Notamacropus eugenii: one gene and its partner. The protein of the gene in region 1 interacts with the protein of each later gene in a biochemical or structural test. Links are inferred from orthologs where the notes say so. Each region holds a gene or a part of one and is shown in the gene's direction. Other genes may lie near its edges.

What was found.
Region 2: the proteins of TOR1A (region 1) and TOR1AIP1 form a complex in vitro, tested with the Homo sapiens proteins (2 studies listed by BioGRID and IntAct). The link is inferred for Notamacropus eugenii from reciprocal best matches to the Homo sapiens genes TOR1A and TOR1AIP1.

The regions. Positions count from the first base shown.
Region 1 is NC_092872.1:481,390,669-481,401,786, reverse strand, and holds the start of TOR1A (torsin-1A), read left to right. Parts: upstream 1-6,642; 5' UTR 6,643-6,738; coding exon 6,739-6,919; intron 6,920-9,195; coding exon 9,196-9,461; intron 9,462-10,467; coding exon 10,468-10,643; intron 10,644-10,733; coding exon 10,734-10,861; intron 10,862-11,118. UniProt on the Homo sapiens protein: Protein with chaperone functions important for the control of protein folding, processing, stability and localization as well as for the reduction of misfolded protein aggregates.
Region 2 is NC_092873.1:465,740,565-465,751,571, reverse strand, and holds the start of TOR1AIP1 (torsin-1A-interacting protein 1), read left to right. Parts: upstream 1-6,437; 5' UTR 6,438-6,822; coding exon 6,823-7,762; intron 7,763-10,702; coding exon 10,703-10,780; intron 10,781-11,007. UniProt on the Homo sapiens protein: Required for nuclear membrane integrity. Induces TOR1A and TOR1B ATPase activity and is required for their location on the nuclear membrane. Binds to A- and B-type lamins. Possible role in membrane attachment and assembly of the nuclear lamina.

The DNA.
Region 1 (11,118 bases):
AGTGGATTGATATCCTCATTAAGCTGTGAGGTTTTCCTTTTTTTGTTAAATAGTAGTCTTGTTACTGTTTCCAAATCTCCTTTGTAAATAAGTTGGCTTTCTTTTGATATTTGCGTAGGGTGAAGTAGATTGTAGGAATTATGTGATCTTATTCTTTAAACAATTTTCTTATTCTTAGACTTTGCTCCACACCTTAGTTAGAAACTCTTGTTTAAGAAGTATCATTTAGAAGATTGAGGTTTGCTGCTTGCTGTGTGACCTTGAGCAAGTCCTTTCCTTTCCCTTGAGCCACACTTTCCTCATCTATAAAATGGGGCGATTAATAACTACCTTACTTACCTCACAAGGTTGTTGAGAAGATCTAGTAAGTACTTTGTAACCTTATGGTGCTCATTCAAAAAAAAAATAGTGATAGCAAAGAAATCTAGGATACAACTAAGGAGGCAACAGTAGCTTTTCTGACTTTCCCAAATTCCTATTGGTTGTTCCGTATAATTTGTTTCTGTATTGAGAAGTTGTAGCTAAGTGTTTTAATTGTTACATAGAGTTATACATAATTCTTGAATAGAAGTTACAATCTGACACTTTACCTCTATTTGGGGGAGATTTACCTTCTTCTAAATCTGCTGGTGGCTGGCATTTCAGGTGTATAGGGAGCTAGGGTTCTGTATTCTCCAGCCCCAGGACAAACCTGAGTGACTGAAGTGGACTTTTCAGGTCCAGCTCAAAAGACATAAAAAAACATGTTTTATCAGGCATTGACACATTTTACAAGATTACTTCCCATTAAAAATATTGCCACTTGGATAGTAGTAGGTTTCCTTGAGGTTTTCTCTCAAATTAGGCCTCACTCAGGAAGGGGAAGATAGTTATCATCCTGTGATAGGAGGCTATAAAACTCCTGAAATGTTCTCAAATGTTTGTGCTACAGGCAGAAAATTTAGATTCAAGGGAAGTCAGGTCCAAAATATAGTATTTGAGGGCCTGTCAATTAAGAAAATGTAAAGTCCTCCACAAATTGAGGGATTATTCACTTTGCCTTTTGAGATGAACACATAGTAAGCATCTAATGAATGCTTTTTCATTCATTCATTAAACTAATAATATACTTACACTACCTACCTCATAGGCTCTGAGGAAAGTGCTTTTTGTTGTAAAATGCTATAGATTTGTGAGCTGTATTAGTAATTACAGGATTGTTGATGTGGAGCTCAAATAGATGTCATCTAATCCAACCCCCTCATTTTACAGATGAAGAGAGATACAGAAAAGGTCAATGATTTGCCCTAGGTCACAGGTAATAAGTGGCAGTGATGGAATTTGGACTCAGGTCTTCTTACTGCAAATGTAGTACTACTCCTTTATTGATTTGGCCTCCTGTAATCAGTTGTTGTCCCTATGAGAGAAAACATGGAGTGGCTGTAGAAATCAGCCCAGGCAGGGGCATGTGTTCCTAAAATCCCATGATCTGGTAATGCATTGAGGACTGACTTCCACTAAAGTCCTGCGCTGGTGCTCTATGTGACAAGGAGGTGATCCTGGCAGAATCTGTTAGCTGTAATGACTTTAAGTATGGTCACAGTGATGGACTATTCTACAAGCACCTGTAATTAGAGATAAATACAAAAAAGCAAGAACAGTCCCTGCCTTCAAGGAGCTAGCATTCTAAAAGGGGAAGTAGCACACAAAGAGGAGGCTTGCTAGGGAAGGTGGTTTTGGTCTGGAAATTCTCTGAGGTGTGTGTGGGGGGAGCAACATTTAATTGACATGCTCTTTCCAGAAACAGTGGTTCCAGAAACAGTTGATTTGAGGTAGTATTGATTTGATTCAAGTTTGCAGAAGAAATGGAAAGGGTAGTGATGGGTTAGGGAAGATGGCTGGATGAGAGCATGAGAAAACATGAACTATTGTAAACTGAAGTTAACAGAACCAGGAAAATTGTTTATAAAGCATCAAATGATGTAAATGGAAATAACAATGGAAACCATCAAATTATGATGACCAACCTTGAACCCAAAGAAGAGACAGAGGAAGGTACCTCCTATGCAGATGTGGAGGAATGTAGGTCTGGACACTGCATATATGTCAGATATTTTTAATGTGTTGCTTAGTTTTGTTAGACTCTGCTCCCCTCTTTTATTGTTATTAGCTCTTATATACTCTGCATCCTTATTCTAACTCCTACTTTCCCTCCCCAATGAAAACCAGTCCCCAGAGGGCAGGCTCCATCCCCCCTCTGGGTAATAGGATACCCCTGAGGAGTAGAAAATGCCTTTAATATTATTGGCTCAACCCCTCGTTATAACATGTTCCCCAGTTAGTATCTCCCCCATTTATTGCCCCAGTGATGAGCATCCCAATACTATTTAACCAATTAATATCAGTTAGCTTTTACCAAAGGATGTTTGTTGAGAAGATATATTGGTCAGAAATACAAACATCCCCTCCACGCTGGGGTTCATGCTACTTCAGTCCCCGAGGAGAGTGGGCTCCAGCTTATAGCCACCGTCAGGAAACATTTGTCCCAGCAAGTCTGCTTATGAATGTGGCCTGGAATGTGTACTGGAAAAGTTGCCCCTTGATGAGTTTGCTACACCTAGTCCAGCAGTTCACTGCTCACAGCAGTGCTGATGCCTCTCCACTCTGCTGCTGTTGCTGATGAAAATGACACACTTTGGGATGGACTCCAGATCCTGGGCCACTTGTGACTCCCCTAATCTTTCAAAGCTTATAGGGTCACAGTGTGGTTCATTTCTAACATGTCACCTAAAAGTAGGAAAGAATCAACAAATAGACAGAAAGAAAAAGACATCATATGTTCCGAGCCATATGTAGGACCTGTTTGTTGGCCCTGGTACTTCTTCTCACACCTAGAGGCTTAACAGCAGGTATTGCCTTGCTCACCACAAGGAAAGAAAAACTAGGGAAGCCAGCTGATGCAGCCAACCAAAAAGCCTTTTCTTCACTGCAAAGTAAACAAGCATAAAATGACAGGATATGCTTAGTAGTAGAGTAGTCCCCTCCATTCTTTCTTAGCTGACATTGAGAAGCAGGTTTACCAAACAGGCAATTAATCTCAGTCAGGAGAATGACCTCTCTTTGGACAGGGTCCTATCACAATTATGCGGGAAACTTTTCTGCAAGACAAGAGAAAGGGAACATTGGGAAAGAATAGGTGATGTGAAAAAAAATGATATAAATAAAACTTTATTCTAAAAAAAAAAACAGAATATAAACTTCTTGAGGGTGATAGTTATATTGATTTTTGTATGTGTGAGCCCTAGCCCTGGCATTCATAAGCCAAGTATTCCTAAGTGGTAGACTTAGGACATGGTAGACTTCCTCCCAACAACCCCATGTATTTCACTATCCAGGGACATCAACTTCCTTGTTCTTCCTTGAATGAAATATTACATCTGAGCAAGCATTTCCTTTGGCTGCTTCCATGCCTGGAATGCTCCCCTTCCTCATCACTCCCTGGCTCAAGTCCTAGCTAAAACCCCACCCACATGAAGCCTTCCCAAATCCCTCAATTCTAGTGCCTTCCCCCCATTGATTATCTAAAATTTATCCTGTATATATCTTGTTTCTACATGGTTTTACATGTTTTTCCTTTTAGATTGTGCTCCTTGAGGGCAGACACTTTGCCTTTCTTTGTATCCCTAGCTTTTGGCACAGTGCCTAGCACATAAGAGGCACTTAATAAATGTTTTTTGACTGATGGCTGATTCACTGACAAGTATGCCTATCTTCATTGGTAGAGAGTTCTGTATACAAATGAAATGATAGATTATAGATTTATATATAGGTATAATTTCTGTCATAGATAAAGTAAAAAAAATATATTTTGTACACATCTATGGAATAGTGATTTCAGTCTATCAAATGTCAATGAAAGATCATCAAGGGCAGATTTTCATTTTTATCTTTGTATTTCTAATATTTAACCTAACACATAGTAGGCAGTCCAGTTGTATTCAGTTTTGTGGCATATTTGCAGTGGTCTGCTAGACCTCGGCCATGTGATTTGCCTTCTGTGCTTCCTTCCTTCCTGCGTGTTCTCAAGTCACAACTTCCCTATCTATAAAATAAAGAGGTTGAACACGAGGTGGGCTCTTTATGATCTTAGGATTTGCCAAATGACTAGTGAATTCTGATAGTAGAATTGAACAGACTAACCAAGGCCCTTTTACTGCCTTATTGAGGAGAAGTGTTTTCTAGTTGCAACAAGTCTCTTTATGGAGAATTTGGTTGTGGCAGACTCTAGTACCAGTGGGCAGTACAAACACATCTAGTCTGCCTTTCCTGTGAAGAATCACAGAACCTCAGACCTATAAGGGTTCTTGGAGGCCAACTCCCTCATTTTACAGAAGGGGAAACCAAGTCCCATTGAAGTTAAGGTGATGTATAGTGAGAAAAGCATTTACCTTGAAATCAGATAATTCATTCAGACAGAGAGATAACTTTTAGAAGAGCCATCAGCAAGGCTGCCCAAGGAAGACCCCAAGTTCAGTTCAAACTTGTATTAGTAGGTCAGATGGTAATAAGAAAAAAGCCACATTTGGAAAATGTCACTTGACTGGTGAATTTGAGAAGGATGTGGTCACCTTGGATGTTGAGGTCCTTCCCCTTGTTTTCCATGCTAACAGTAGTCCTATTAAATTCAATGTTTAGGATACAGTTAACCAAGAGAAATTTGGTGGTCTGAGAAGGATTATTACATCCAAACTCAGGGCACAATTTTAATGTTCGATGTAACACTGGGAGTTGCTTACAAGAAAGAGCCTAACTACCCTAGAAATCTGATACAAGCATTAGAAAATATCCCTATCAGTTGTGTGACAACAAAGTGAATATTAAGGACAAAAAAGCCAAGACAAAATCCATTGTCTTCTACAGGAAGAAAACAGTCTCCAGTATGAAAGCTCACTGGTTCTGGAGACCAAAGGCCTGGGTTAAATCTACCCTCTATAGTTTACCACCTGTACAACCTTAGGCAAGTCATTTAACCTCCTGGGCCTCAGTTTCCTCATCTGTAAAATGGAAAAAGTGGACTAGATGGTCGCAGGCTCTCAGAATCTTGACACATCAAGATACCCTGGAAAGGTCGAATTCCTAATGTGTGGTCCTTAGAACCCTGGGGTGTCTGAGACCTTTTCAGGGGGTGCCTGAGATCAAAATTATTTTCCTAAAAATACTAAGATATTACTTGCCTATTTAAATACTCCTCCCTTTTCCAACTACACACAGTTGGTCCTATTCATATATTCAGTCAAAACTGTATCACAATATACAATGCAGAAGCAGATAGGAAAATCAGGTGTCTTCCATTAAGTCAAAATTTGAAAAGATTTGTAAAGCAATGCTTTCTCACTAATTCATTGTTTTGGAAAATAGGGTTATTTTTTGTAAAACATTCATGTTCACTTGTGATACATTGTCATTTTTAAATGAATTAATAAATGAATATTTTAAAATTGTATCAAGTTTTAAGTTGTAGGAAGGGAACAAACATTTATTAAGTACTTATGTATATATATATATATATATGTGTGTGTATGTATTTACGTATATGTATATATATGTATATATACATTGCTGATCTGGAAATTTGGTTAAAGGAGGCAAACAGGGTAGGTGATATGTTAATGCATATTGTTTATTCACTTTGAGCTAGTCTAAACTAGAACTTGTACAAAGAGACAAAATATAAGTTCTGACTGACTGATACAAGAGTGACAAGGCTTAAATCTGTTTTAGGACAATCCCAGGATATCTGTGTCCCTCCCTCAGAATTACATTCTATGTGTTTATACCATGAGAAAGGAATTTTCTTAATTGAATAAGTTGTAAATACAATAAGAGAGTTGACAAAGTGCCAGTTGAAATTATGACCCAGGATATCTGTGTTTTCTTTACTATTAACATGTTATAACATTTAAATGTCCACAAAATACTAAGATACAGAAAAAAGATACTGTGTCCGATTAAGGGTCACATCCTTAAACAGAGGAAAAAGGAAAAGCCCCCTCTAGCCTTGTTGACATAGGAAGAGGTATTCTCTGAGTTTACTCAGAGAATAAAGAGGTTGTTTGGGCCAGGCTCTTCTTCTGATTGATTAATTCAGGTTCTAGCCCTTATTAAAGTCCAAAAATGATATTAAATGATTATTAACATACATACACATGTATATGTGTGCCAGGAACTGCAAGTGCTTTACAGATGCTATCTCATTTGATCCTCACAACAACCTTGGGGGGAGGGGCTATTATTCTTATTTTAGTTGAAGAAACTAAGGCAGACAGATGAATATGACTTGCCCAAGGTCATACAGCCGAATTTGAACTTACGTCTAACTGGCCTAGCAGCTCTATCCACTATCCACTCTGTCCACCTATATGGACAAAGATAACTCCTGTAAAGGAAAGTTTTTTGAGGTCCTCAATAATTTTCAAGAGTGTAAAATGGTCCTGAGACTAAAAAGTCTGGAATCAGAGTCTTAAGCAGTTGGAGGGGAGGGAGGAGGCCGGCTCTTTGCCCCACTCCAAGATGGCCGGCTCCGGCTTCGCTGCCCGTCCTCGGAGGCGGCGCGGGAAGTGTTTTCCCCTCACAAAGATGGCGGCGGGCGGTAGAGGAGGGGCGGAGCCGGAAGCGGCGGCGGCGGCCTGTCATCTTCACCGGCCGAAGCCGTGGCCGGGAAGGCGGGCTCGGTGTGGCTCGGCTCCGTGCGGTCCGGGCATGAAGCTGGTCCGGGCCGCCCTGGGCCTGCTGCTGCTGGCGCCGCCCTTGGTGCGGGCCGTGGAGCCCATCAGCCTGGGGCTGGCCCTGGCCGGCGTGCTCACCGGCTACATCTCCTACCCGCGCCTCTACTGCCTCTTCACCGAGTGCTGCAGCCAGAAGCGGAGCCTCAGCCGCGAGGGTAGGGCCGGGGCCGGGCCGGGGGCCGGGGCCGGGCCGGGGGCAGGGAGGGCGGCCCCGTCCTCTCGCGAGTCTCAGTTTCTCCATCAGTACAGTGGGGCGATGAGCACCTCCGGACCCTGGGTGCTCCCCGGAAGCTGGAGGCCAGGAGTGTGGAGAGACCCGCTCTGAGATGTGGGGAGAAGCGGGGGTCCTGGGGGGACTTTGGGGGTCGTGAGGGCCAACCCCGTCATTTCGCCGGCCCTTTAGAGAGGACGAGCAGCCTGCCCAGGGTTCCACAAGTGGGTCCGCGTCGAGTGAGGCCCCGGGGTTGGGGAGTGTCCGCCCAGCTCACTGCCCTCGACCGCCCCGGAGGCACGTGCTGGTGCGGAGGGAAGGGGTGGCCTGAGGTGTCTGGGACTGGACTCCAACTCCGAGCTTGACCGCTCCAAGCCGCGGACTCTCCACAGCGCCCCCTGGCTGCGACAGAAACCGTGCGGATAAAAACAGAATTGAGAGGGCCCCTGCCCCTCTAGAGCTGCCTTTCTTACTGGGATGGTGGTGACTAGGGCAGGGAGTTTGGGTAAGATGGTGGGTGGAACAATAATAGCACAGTTGGTCGCCATCTCCCATCTCCAGACCTTTGCCCTATTCCTGGAGCACCTCCTTTTCCTCATAGGGCCCCTCTCTTCCTTTCAGATGCAGTTCAGTTGTTTGCTTCTACTTGAAGCTTTTCCTGATTCCTCAAATTCTAGGGGCCTCCTTTCTCAAACTACTGTTTAACTACTTTGTATTTATTCTTTTTATGTTTGTTCCATATACACTTATATGACCTTGTTGTCTCTCCAGTTAAAATGTAAACTCCCCCTGAGTCGGCATTGCTGTTTTGTGTTTTCGTATGCCCAGTACCTAGCATTGGGCCTGGCATGATGCTTGCTTGGCAAATCCTTTCCAGAAAAAAAGGGTAGTATTGATTTGATTATAGTTGCTAAAGGGGAGGAGAAGGAGTTGCTGGGTTAGGTTAAAGAGGAAGACGCTTGAGTGAGATTGCATGCCTTGTCCAGTTTGACAGGCTTGGGCCCATGCTCCTAATTGGTGAGAACCAACCATAATTAACTGGCCCAAGACTTGGCCATGCTTCTTGGCAGAGGTCACCACGTGGAGAGGCAAGAATGAGTTTAGTGGATAAAAGTTAGGCTTGGAGTCAGAAAGAGCCAGGTTCAAGTCCTGTATGACCCTGGGTAAGTCACTTAAGTGTCCCCAGAAAATTATATGGATGAATAACCAGAGAGTTGTCCATCTGTATTGATGAAGGGAGTTTCTGCAACAAACTTTCCCTCTTATAGATGAAATCACAGGTCTGGATCAGAAGAAAAAGAGAGAAAACCCTCACCTCATAGTATTGTCAGTAAAACACTTTGTAATCCAGAATTTTGAGCCATTATTAAAATAGCAAAGTTAGAATTAAAACCCAGGGTGCCTGACTCTGAAGTCCAGTGGTCTTTCCATTGTATTGTATTTCCTCAAGGATGGAGATCATAGAAAAGTAAAACTTGGAGATTGGGGAGGGAGGGAGGGAGAGGGGATAAGGAGTGGTGGTATCTGGTAAGGACAAGGGAGAACATTTTGGGTGCCATGGAAAGAGTAGTGGGGGCTCCCTGGGTAAGTGCAGAGATTTTGTGGGGAAGAGGTTGGAAGTTGAGATAGGGAGCTGCTTGCTGCCTCCAACAAAAAATGGAGTTTGTAGACCCTGCTTCAGCCTTCTTTGCAAGAGAAAATAGAATACTTTTGTAATTGAATCTTCTTAAAAGTATATTCTTCATTGAGAAGAGGAGAGATATTGAAAGAGGGAGTCTTGTCTCCCTCAGTTGTACAGGTGGTGGTTGAATCTACATGAGCCCCATTTTCCTCCTTTCCCAAGATAGGAAGCCATAAAGTAAGGTTAGATTTGGCTACTTAATTCTTAGATGTGATGTAGACACTGAAGAGGCAGAGGCCTTTCTGCCAAACTGATGGACAGTTTTTGTTCCTGTTTGAAAAAGCTGGAAGATGATGTGTCGTTGGCATAGGTGGGGCCCAGGAAGTTTGCAGCAAGGAAGAAATAGCAAGGGTTTGGGGGAGGGGGAGTCCTCCACAGAATTTCTTTGGGGCTGAAGAGTCAGGTTATTTTAGTCAACTGCTAGTTATAGCTGGTTAGCATCCCAGAAGATCTGAACCAATCCTTAGCTGGTAGTATGTTTTATCTAGTCTGCCAACCAGTTTTTTACTTGTATATGACAACTTTTGTTTTTTCCTCAGCATTACAGAAGGACCTTGACAGCAAGCTCTTTGGACAGCACCTTGCAAAGAAAGTGATATTAAATGCTGTGTCCGGGTTCATAAGTAACCCAAAGTCCAAGAAACCTCTCACCCTCTCCCTGCATGGATGGACTGGCACAGGGAAAAATTTTGTCAGCAAAATCATAGCTGAGCATATTTATGAGGGTGGACTTAACAGTGATTATGTGCACCTATTTGTGGCCACATTGCACTTTCCACATGCTGGGAACATCGTACAATATAAGGCAAGAAGATAATCTGGAATCTTTCCCAGCTGCACAGGGGTTGGGCTTTGTTTGATGTTTTTGTGTGGGTGATGATGAAGTTTATGGGATAATATGCTAAACAAATGAATGATCTTTGAGAATTTCTTTCTGGATGTCCCTTTTGTATTATATTTTGCACCTTTGTAAAGGGTTATACAGCATTTGGGAGGCAGATGTGTTTGATGCACAAGAGCAGTTCAGCTGTTAGAGCTTTTTAATGCTTCCTTTGTAATGTCCATAGTGCTGAATTCGTGAGATCGACATTCAGGAATCAAATGGGACACTGGAAGTGCCTGGCCTTTGGGAGGGAAGAGAAGTCTCATTTTCCATATGAGGAAGTTGAGACCCAGAGAGGGCAAGTTATTTATTCAAGCTCACATAGCTAGTTAGTTGCAGAGCTAGCCGAGAACTCACATTTTCTGCCAGTGTAGCCCTTCTTCGTGTCGTACCATTTCTATAACCTATCTGTTTGATTTCACTTTGCCTTAGCAAAAGTATTTGGGAAGGGTTTTTTTGAGAATGGGTAAGAATACTTAAATTTGCTTTTCTTCATTATTTCTTTTACTGGTGTAGATATACTATTCTGAGGTCATAAGCTACTTTTAGTTCATTAGATTATTTTTAATTGTGCTTTATTTTCTTTTATAATCAGTACTATTCAACTAGAACCTAAAATGATTTCTTTTCAGATAATCAATAACATTTTTTCCAATAATCAGTTATCTGGAAAGATAATCAATAGATGGTAACATGCTATAACTCAGTAACCCATATCCTTCTCATTAGACTATAAAGGATAATTTTCTTTCCTATTTCTTCTCTAATTATGACAAAAGATAAAAAAAGAAAAAAGATTGGCATGACATTAAAGTGATATCATTAAAAGAAGGATTCCTTAGGCATTTTAGCTATTTCCAGGGTAACATTCTTCTACATTATTCTTACTGAAGTCTCCCCTGGGTATTTTTGGTTTGTTATAATCCAGGACCAGTTACAGTTGTGGATTCGGGGGAATGTGAGTGCCTGTGCAAGGTCCATCTTTATATTTGATGAAATGGATAAGATGCATGCAGGGCTTATAGATGCTATCAAGCCATTCCTAGACTACTATGACTTGATAGATGGCATCTCCTATCAGAAAGCCATCTTCATCTTTCTCAGGTAAGATGGGATTTGGAAAGAATGAAGGATTCTGGGCTGTCTTCACAGCAACTAAGGCAGCAAGTCCTTATTTTTGTACACATCTCATAGCAATGCAGGAGCTGAAAGAATAACAGATGTGGCTTTAGATTTCTGGAGGAGTGGAAAGCAGAGAGAGGAAATCAAGCTGAAAGATGTGGAGCAGGCGTTGTCTGTGTCAGTCTTCAACAACAGGAATAGTAAGTAGTACTCTGGGTGTGTGTGTGTGTAACTCAGTGTTTTGTGTAAATGGGTTGGGGAAGGGGCTTTGTGATCTTCCAGTCCTCCTCTCTTCTGGGTCTGGAATGTTTGATACCTTAGCCTGCACATTTGGAAATGTTCATAGTTTTTATTCTCTTTTTAAAAAATTTTTTTGTTATATTTTAAGTTCTGAACTGTTTCCCTCCCTCCTTCCTTCCCCACCCTGCCCTTGAGAAGGCCACCATTTGACACATCG
Region 2 (11,007 bases), on another chromosome or scaffold:
AGCAAGCATTCTGGAAACAATGTAAAGTTGAACGTTAATTTTAATCATGGGATTGTTAGAGCTAGGACTTTAAAGATCAATTAATTTAACCCTTCTATGTTCCAGATGAAGAAACTGAGTTTACTTACTCACAGATTCCTGATGACAGGAAAAGCGTTCTTAATAGTGGATTCTGAATCAAAGCCCACTTCAATAATCAAATTCCAAAGGCATGAAACTTTTCAGTTTTCAATCCGGACTGGAAAAACAGGTAGCTACACACAACCGGGCCTCAAAATCTTCCCCGGTCAATGTGACTGTGAACTTTGCCCCAAGGAAAAGGTGTCCAGTGGAATGCTGGGAGTAGTAGTTTTTTCTACCCTTCCTGTAAGGAAGCTTATGTAACTACAAGTTACCATTATTAACAACAACATGTACTTACCTCATTTTGTTGGGTAAGTAGCACTTCAAAATTCTTATTTTCAGAAAATTATTAATATTCTAAAAATATGCTCCCGTCTTCTGCTGACATCAGCTAGTTGTCATTTGTCCTTTTATTAGCTGGGCAATCCCTGGGCAAGTCCCATCACTTCTCTCAGCCTCAGTTTCCTCAGTTCTAGAATAATAAGAACACTTACCTCACTGGCGTGCTGTGAGGATCAAGGGAGTTTACATGCAAAGTGCTCTGCAAATCTTAAAGCATTACACAAATGACAGCTATTATTAATTCTTTAACTACTTTCCAACCTATGAAGTAAGGTACTCTAAATTATTCTGGTCACTTTAAATATGCAGAATCACAGAATTTCAGAGCTGGAAGAGCCCAATGCAAACATGAAGAAAGCATCCCTCAAAAACCTCCAGTGAGGGCAGAATCCATTATATCCTGAACAAGCCCATTCCACTTTTGGACAGCTTGAATTATTAGGAAAAATTTCCCTTTTACTTTTTTTTATCCACTAATCCCAGTTCTTCCTCTGGAGCCAAGCAAAAGGAATATAACCTGCTTCCAGGTGACAATCTTTTAAATACTTTAACACAGCTATAACATTCCCCTCCTTGCTTACCCTCAAGTCTTCTCTTCTCCAGGATAAACAACCCCATTTCCTTCAACTGATTATCAAACTTACTAGGTAGTGGACCATTCAAGAAATGTACCCTTGAGAGCCTTCACCTCTAAATCCACAAAATGGGGATAATAACACCTGCACTGAACTACTCATGTCAGTCCTGTTGTGAAGAAAGCTCTTTGGGAACCTCAAAGCACTATACACACATTATTATAGTAACAACAACCAAGAACATATAACATTCATAAGAAAAGTGAGAGTATCTAGAAGGAAAAGATGATCAAAAATGTCTAGATCCTTCACAGAAATACAGGTAATAAGTAACTAGCATTGAAATTAATTAGGCTGTATTAGGCAATTTGATAGTCACTAGTATTTTTTGAGACAGCAATTCCAGTCAGACTGACTGGATCAGAAATTCAAATAACAAAAGTACAGGTAATTAAGGAACTTAAGGCATTGGGAATGAAGAACTTTTTCGAGCTGTCTTTTTCAACACAAAGCTAAGTTCCTTTTTGACAGGGTTAATAATTTGCTATGGGGGATGCTAGCAATATAGTTTACTTAATTGTAATAAAGTATTCAGTAAAGCATATCATGTTATTCATGTAAAATACATAAATAAAGGATTAACTACCCTGAAATTTAAAAAGAAGCACAAGGCTAAGACTAGCAGCGCAGTTCATCCTTCACTTAAAAGTTCAAACCTGCAACAAGAGATGTAAGAGATACCCTATTTAAAACAATCATGGAAAGAATAAAATACCTGAGATTACAGCTGCCAAGAGAAACCCAGAAACTATATGAACATGATTATAAAACATTTTTATGCAAATAAAGTTCAGATTTAAGTAACTGAAGAAATATTAATTGTTCAAGTGTGGTCAGAGCCAATATATGATCAATGCTGATTTATAGCATTTTTTCTTACGACTATAGTTCTAATTTCTTCCTCTGAAAACTACCTATTCATATCCTGTGACCATTTATCATTTGGAAAATGACTTGTATTCTTGTAAATTTGACTCAGTTCTCTATATATTTTAGAAATGAAGCCTTTATGAAAGATATTAATTGTAAAAATTCTTTCCCAATTTTCTGCTTCCCTCTTAACCTTGGTTGCATTGGCTTTGTTTGTGCAGAAACTTTTCAATTTAATGTAATCAAAATTATTCATTTTGCATTTCATAATGTTCTCTATCTCTTGTTTGGTCATAAATTCCTCCATTCACCATAAATCTAACAGATGAACTCTTCCTTGCTCCCCTAATTTGTTTATAGTATCAGCCTTTATACCTAAATCATGTACTCATTTGCACTTTATTTTGGTAGTGCTTTGTAAACTTTAAGGAGCTATGTAAATGTGATTGTAATTATTGTTTTAATTATTGGAGAGACCTAAGCATGTTTGTGATTCAGTCATCATCTGCCAAGTTGAAAATCTTCCCTTGCTATAGCATTCTCTATTCTCATTCCCATCAACCTCAACCATACACCTCTGCAATTCTGTTACTCTGTCTTCCCCTTTCCTTGTGCCCTCTGGAATCCTGCTCTGTTGTTGATAAATTCCTCTTCCTCTTAGATGGCTTCCTCTTAGTCTTTACAATTTCTTGGACTTAACAGAAACCTGGATCCCCATTCCTTCAGAAGATACTGCATCACCAGTCAGTCTCCACTGTTAAAAGTACTTAGTATCAGTCAACCAATAAGCATTTAAGTGTATATTTTGTGCCCCCCTCCACTGTGCTTGGCACTGGGTATGCAAAGAATGGGGGGGAAATCTCCCTTTCCCTCCAGGAACTTACAGTCTAATGGGGAGATAGTAACAAATAACTAACTACATACATAATCTATATAGAGCATATGGCATCAATGGGGGAAGCCATTCACATCTGGGAGTGGGGGCAGAGATGAGTCAGAGAAAAGCCTTCCACAGAAGGTGGGCTTTGAACTCAATCTTGAAGGAAGTCAAAAAAACTAAGAGGCAGAGATGATAGGAAAGAATATTCCAGGAGAGTGTAGAAGTCTTCTGAGCATGCAAAAATGAGAAAACTAGGGGAGGGACTTTTAGAGGAATGTACTGATTGAGATTGTGAGAGATGAAGAGACTCTTGGAGGGGTGGATGAAGTAGGAGAGGGACTTGAGAGGGAGAGAAGATAAGGTGACAGGGATAGGGTAAAAAGAGAGGCTAAGAAACAAAACTGAGTAAAAATAAGATGGAGAGAAATTCATAAACTAATTATAACTTTGAATGTGAATGGAATGTTTATAGAAGTTCTCTTTGCAGTGTCAAAGACTGGAAATTGAGGGGATGTCCATCTATTGGAGAATGGCTGGACAAATTGTGATATATGGTTGCAGTGGAATACTATAAGAAATGATGAGCTCAATGATCTTAGAAAGCATGGAAATACCTGTATGAAACGATGAAAAGTGAAATAAGCAGAACCAAGAGAACATTGTGGACAGTAACGGCAATATTGTTTTAAGAATGACTTCAAAAGACTAAGTCCCTTTCACTGTTATAAATCCAAAAATTAAAAAATAAAGGACATATGAAGACACTATCTACATCCAAAGAAAGAACAGATAGATATATAATCTACATATTATACACACACACACACACACACTCACACCCCTGTTTGTGTCTTAATAGTATCCATCTCTAAGATAGGGGAATGAGTGCCAGGCATGGTAACAAGAGATGGAACATCACGACCACAGAACTGCAAGGTCACTGTATCTAGATCACATTGTGTGTAGAATCAAGTAAAGTGTAAGATTTCAAAGGGGAAGAGGACAAATCACGAAGAGCTTTAAAAGTCAAACCAAAGTCTTTAATTTGATCTTGGAATAGGGAGCCACAGAACTCAATGTCAGTTAGGTCTTTAATTTAGAAAAAAACTACTCCAGTAGTGGAGTGGAGATAGGACAGAGTATGAACTGGAGTACTGGCTGTATGAGTAGAGAGAATGGGATGTATGAGAGATGTCACAGAGCTAGAAATGACAAGATTTGACAACAGACTGAATATGAGGGACAAGAGTGAGGAATAGCAAATGGCCAGGACAACAAGGTTTTGAATTTGAATGACTGGGGACAGGGTAGTGCCCCTCCACAGTAAAAAGGGAAGTTCAGAATGAAATTTAGTTCAGTGCTTTAAAAGATGAAATTTTTCTTCATGACATTCTAGGCACTTTACTAAGAAATATTTTAAAATTGTAATCAAACCACTCCTGGATTGACTGGTCACAAAAGCCACTGGGATCTGTAGTTCTCCCCAGTTTAAGAAGAAACTGGGGTTGCAGTCTTTCCCAATGGAGAATTACAAATTCTAGCCAAACCCTTATTAGGGGTTGTTATAGTAATTTTCAGAGATTGGTAACTGAAATGACAAAAGTTTATGCTGGTCTTAAGCTAATCTGACAGGAAGGAATCCCTTCTACAAACCTAAGAGATAAATTCTCCGGTAGGGTACACAAATTACATTGGCCCTGGAATCAGAGGCTTAGTGGCTCAAATCTCACCCCTGATTACCTGTAAACCTTCAAGTCACTTGATCTCTCTGGATCTGTTTCCCTATCTGTAAAATAAGGGGTTGGACTAGATGGCCTCTGAAGTCCTTTCCAGCTCTAAATGTATCTTCCCAATAGGGATGACATTCCTGAAGACAAACAACTTCTCTGTTGGACAGCTCTGACATTAAAACTTTTCTCTAGGTTAAGGTTTAAGGGGTTGCTGGGTGAAACACACATGTTGTTAGGCATCTGCAGCTTCTGCTGTCACCTCACAAACAGAGGAGGGGCCAGGATATAAGTAGTCCTCCCAGGTAGACCAAGGCCACAAACAAGCAAACTTCTGTCTAAAATTGTCTATGCTCTTTCTTTTTTAAAAGATTTCTTTGGGGAAACCACTCGAGCTATTTTTGGCAACGCATCAGTAAGTATAATAGTAGATGAACCCCTTCCTTTCTAGACCACACACACAAGAAATTAAAGAAATACCTTCCACAACAAAAAGAGCCCAAAGGTAAGTTTTTGATGTGTCTTATTATTTTTGCTTATATTAATCTACTGTTAAAAAATGAGGCCCTTGAGGGATCCTTTGACAATGTCTATTCAGTATATATAGCATTTGATTTATTGTAGACAGTATAATTTAATAATTTTACAGTTGACTATGTTAATAATATACTCTTTTTAGAAGTTTTCTAAAATACTAAATGCTAGTTACTTTATACTTTTAAATAACTTTAAAAGCAGTAAAAAACTTGTGGTCTCATGTACGTATCCCTTAGGCTCAAATAGACCACTTTCATTTTCCCTTCCCTGAATGCAATAAAAAGCAACAAAGAGCTATTTTTCTTAGTGTTCTTCCTTTTTTTATCTTTCACGTTCTGATTTTACTGGAGACCAGTGTTCATATCATATATGTAAAAAATGAGTTACTGATTTCTAAAAGCACTATTATGTCCCTGTATTATGTTACCTGATACAAAAAGTATCCTTAGCCAATGCTATAACAAGGGTCTATATTTTATTTATAATTAAAAACCACAGAAAGGCAAGACTGTATGTACTAATTCTTTATTTATGATCATTTGGACAAAGTTGAGATAATGAAGTTTTTTTTACCGAGAGTAGTTTAAACGAGATCCTAATAACTTTAAATTCCTTAAACTAATTTCAAAGCATACTCAAGTTGTCACCTATATAAAAACTGATACCCTAAACATCAATCCTTTTTTATTTATTCACTAAATCATATTCCCTGGACTCAAAGAGATATGATTATTAGACTAAAGCTAGTTACTGTATCCTTAAAATAGAATTTTTTTTTTAAAGACAAAAGGCTTTTCACCAATTATGACTACCGCACTCCAGTACTTCAGATTGGTTGTTAAATACGAGTATCCTCTAATGTGGATTGTTTACTACTATCTTGTTTCTACCTAGTTTTTAACATTTTGTATTCTAGTCTCTGGCACAGATCGGGTACTTAACAAGTGCTGGATTGAGAGTAAACTAAACTTGGGGATTGTACGATGAAATCTACAACAAATTTATGCCGCAGATTTAAAAAAAAAATACATGTAATTTACCAAGTCGCTAATGAAGTGGAAAACACTCGTCAATTTCAGTTGGAGGAATGTCAGTTTCTAAAAGGCTCATCTATGGAAGAGCTCCAAGGAATGTAAACAATTTCTTAATTTTAAGGTGAGGAACGGAGGCGCCGGCAGGACTACATGAAAGCAGCGGAACAAGCAGCCTTCCATCAGCTGCACCAAGCACCCCGATTTGCAAACGTTTCCTGCCCGTAATCCGCTGGTAAATTCTGTAAGCGTCAGAATCATTTTAGCATACGGTTGACGGACAAACTTTCTTTTCATTTCTTTCGTTACTCAAATGTTGCTTTTGGAAAACGACTAGGTCGTTCTTCGGGCAGAGATTTTCCCATCAAAACCGAGTGGCTTTTGCTTTCACTAAGTGACTAACATTTCACCGTGACTTCACAAGTTTTTTATTTTACTTTTTCAATTAACAAGGCTTTTTTTTTCTCCCGCTCCCACTCCTGATGTACGAGTGAGAGAGGGAGGGAAGGGGGGATCATTTCAGAGAGCGAAGACAAAAATGAGTCCCCGCAACATCTACCCCGGGAACTGTCAAGGTCTCCGACCGACCCTTGAACCTTTCACCAGAGTCAGGAAAGGGGTGACGGAGCCGGCTCGGGCGGACGGGGTCACGGTCGGCGCGGGCGCTTGGGCTACAGATGCGACAAAATGGTGGAGGAAGCGCGGGCCGCGCTGTCTCGGGCTCCCCGGATCACGGCCTCCCGGCGGGGAGGGCCCCGGGCGGGCGGCCGGGCCCACCCCGTGACGCTCGCCAGAGAGCCCGGGATGGCCGGCTCCTCGAGCCTCCCTCCCCGCCCCCCGGCGCAGGAGGGCCAGGCTCTCCCTTCTCCTCCTCTGGCGGGCCTGCAGCCAGGAGGGCGGGGGTGACACACACACACACCCAGCGGCAGCTGACCGAGCCGGGCACTGCCTGCCTCACAACCTTCGGGAGCTACCATGGGCCCAGAGGAGCCCGCACACCGCGGCGGCAACAGCAACAAGAGCGGCGGCGGCCGCGGCCCCGACGACTCCCAGCTGCCTCCCTGACGGGCGCCAAGCCCCCGCCGCCGCTCCGGAGAGGGACCCGGCCGGCCATCCTAGGCCCGCGAACCATGGCAGGCGAGGGATGGGCAGCGCACGTCACACCCAGGGCCCCGCTACGACAAGGGAGGCGCCCGCTCGGCCCTCAAGATGGCGGCGGAAGAGACGCGCTCGCGGACGGAAGCCCCATGGCTCGGCGCAGGGGCCGACGGGAAGTGAGGTTCTCCGAGCTCCCGCCCCAAGTGTACGGCGACTTCGAGCCGCTCGCGTCCGGGGGAAGTGCCCGGGTGGAAAAGCGGACCCAGGCACAAGAGTTCCGCCCCGTGCCCGGGAAAGAGGAAGTGGAGGAGAGAAGAGCCTACTATTACCTTAGACCTCGGCCGCCTTCTCTGCTCTCGGGCTTGGGACTCGGAGAGATGAATACGAGGAGAACGACCCGGCTCCAGCAGCAGGAGGCTCCGCCGCCGCCGCAGCCCTCGCCGGCCACCACGAGGAGAGGGCTGCGAGACCTGCAGCCCTCGGAAGGTGAGGGCGGCGGAGGCGGTGGCCGCCGCCGAGGTAACGGGCTGGGGAGGCGCGCGCGCCCCGGAGAGCGCGAGGTTTCCCGCCTCGGGCGGCCACGGCTCCGCGCCCCGCGGGGGGTCCTCTCCTCGCGCCCCCTCGCGAGGGACGGGCTCGTGGCTGGGACACCCTAAGGTGCGGGAGGAAATGGATCGGGAGCTGGCGGGACGGGCGGAGAACGCGGGCGGTCCCGGAGCCCCCCGCCCTCCACCGAGGAAGAAGGAAAGGGGGCAGCCCCCCAATAGCGGGAGGCAGGGCACTGTGTTGGGCATTCCCGGGGCTTTATCCGGGGCAGCAGCGTGCGCACGAGCGCGGGGTCCGGCCCCGATCATCCTCGGAGCGCAGGGTCCGGCGTTCGGGGTCAGCCCAGACTCCTGTAGGAGGTGGGGTCTTAGCCGGGACCTGGAGGGCAGAGGGCTCCTGCCGGAGCAGCCGAGGAAAAGGCGCAGGGAACCGGAGCGAATTCCTCTAGGAGAGCTTCCCGGCCCTGGGGAGGGGGCCGCCGGGGAGGAAGGGGGGGCCCGTGGCTGAGAAGGAAGAGGAGAAAGGAGAACCCACCGTAGTTAGGGAGCAGCCTGGCCCCAGGGGAGCTCGGGCCGGGAAGCCTCCGTTGAGTGAGAGGCGCCGTGCTCAGCGTGGGTATGGGGGACCCGGGGTGCACGTGTGTGTGTGTGTGTCTGTGTGTGTGTGTCTGTGTGTGTGTGTGTGTGTGTGTGTGTCTGTGTGTCTGTCTGTGTGTCTGTGTGTGTGTGTGTGTGTCTGTGTGTGTGTGTCTGTCTGTGTGTGTGTGTCTGTGTGTGTGTGTGTCTGTGTGTGTGTCTGTGTGTGTGTGTGTCTGTGTGTCTGTGTGTCTGTCTGTGTGTCTGTGTGTCTGTGTGTGTGTGTCTGTCTGTGTGTGTGTGTCTGTGTGTGTGTGTGTCTGTGTGTGTGACTGTGTGTGTGTCTGTGTGTGTGTCTGTGTGTGTGTGTGTGTGTGTGTGTGTCTGTGTGTATCTGTGTGTGTGTGTGTGTCTGTGTGTGTGTGTGTCTGTGTGTGTGTGTGTGTGTGTGTAGGGGAGGGGGCAGACACATAGGCACAAAGTCATGCAAAGGATGTGAGTCACTCTTGGGGTTTGAATTACCAGGTGATAGACGGGGTGACACGCACTGATGGTGTAAGAACAGCCCCTGCCATCGGGAAACAGCGTGCAAAATAAGAACATAGCACTGACACACATCAGTGTGCAGGGCCAGTTGGGAGTGAGCTCCGAGAGAAGTCACTGCGCATCGAGGGGAGGGGGCAGCGGAGGAGACTTGCACAAGATAGGGTTTGAACTTGAGTCTTGAAGGGAGCCAAGAAGCAGAGGGAGAAAAAACATCCCAGGAAGATGGAACAGCCAGGCACAGAGAGGAGGGAGGAGGGAGCCACCGAAGTTTACTGAGTAGGGGAATGACCAGTGCTTTGTGAAGATCGTTTTGGCAAACTGTTTAACCTCTGGGTCAGTCCGTTATTAAACATTTGTTAAGCACCTACAAAGTGTCCAGCAAAAAGAGGCAAAGAACAGCCCCTGCCCTCAAGGAGTTCACGGTCTAATGGAATCTCTGGGCCTCCATTTCAGATTCCTCCTAAGTAAAATGAAGACAAGCATGGGCCTTGTCTGCATCATGAGAGACAAAGGGAGGTAGTGGTTATCTATCCGGCTGACCTTGAAGCCTGGAAATTCAGATCCAGTTCCTTTCTCTGACAAAACTGACTTTGTCACCCTGGAAGTCATTAGCCTCTCAGCGCCCTAGGCAGCTGTCTGATACTGTAAGTTGCCAAGAAGGTAGAATGCTGCGGTGTTGCTAGAGGGAGTAGCCCCCTCCCCCAGTTCTGTGAAAATGGGTAAAATCCCAGGTCCCTTCTCTCATCTTATTATCTGTTAAAAGTGTTGGGAGTGAAGTTCATTAGTATTCTTTATTTGCATTTGATGACATTTGAAGGCACGTTGGTTTTAGAGACTTCACATTCACCCAAATTTCTATCATTATTGTACCTTTTGCATGTTTTCTCTAAAATATTTTATTAATTTTGTGGGTGTGGGTGTGTTCAGCAGGATCACACACTTAAAGGCAGGGCTGGGGTCCTGTCACCTTTTCTGGATCCCACTCCCAGCTCAAGCAACAGTCACTGAGAAAAGTAAAAGAATTACTATGTTCTCTACTCTTTAGTGGATCTTTCATCTCATGATCTTGAGCATATAGTTCTTCAGCACCACATTGCAGCCCATCCTTCCTTTCTCTTCTTGTACATATTTCCCTGTAGAGGGAAATACTGGTTTCACTTCTTCAGTACTATTTCTGCATACTTTGCTAGTAAACCTGAATATATGGAAATAATTTCCCTTTCTGACTCCTTTCATATGTCTTCACCACTACCTGCAGTGTTTCTGACTTTGTAAATTCCAAGTTTTTTTTTTTAACCTTAGTGCAGTTAAAATCTGCTAAGTGCAATATGTGCAAAGAACTGTGCTAGGTGCTAAAAAGAGTATAAGTGAGTAAATTCTTCTAGTTTGTGGCCTTGTAGGAGACACTTAGAGAAGTAGCTTTAAAACATTAACATTAAAATGTTTAAAATTTAAACATAAGTACAGGAGATATTGTGTTCAATAGTTATTTATTCAACTAGCTACTATGTGCAAGGCACTTAAATGCTAGGAATACATGAAAAATTATAGTTTTTCTCCCCAAAGAGGAGGATGAGACATGACAAATATGATACAGTGTGGAATGTGATAGAGCAAGATACAGATCAGATTTTGTTTAGAAGAAAAAAAAAACATGTTGAGGAGAGAGCACTGCTTCCAGAGCAAGGATTAGGCTTCCTTAAAGAGGTGGCCCTTGAACTGAATAGGGTGTTATGGGGTTTTTCCCCCTATACATTCTCACTTTTAACTGTTAACATGTTTTGTTCTTTAGAGGATGAACCATCTTCCCAAACCATCATAAGCCAGACAATCTCAAAGAAATCAGTCAGGAGAGTACAAGAGATACCAGGTAAGAAACATCACTTTCCTTTCTTATCCTTCTTTGCTGTCCTTTGCCATCTGACTACATCAAGTCTCTTAAAAGTTTAGAACATGTTTGATTTCTGGCTTGACATGCTCTCCAGCTTAACAGTGTCCTTCCTGAACTATGGCACCCAGAAAACTGTATTCCGGATAGATTCTGACTGTATTTATGATGCCTTGCAATTTGTACTGTAGCCATCTTCCTATTTTGTT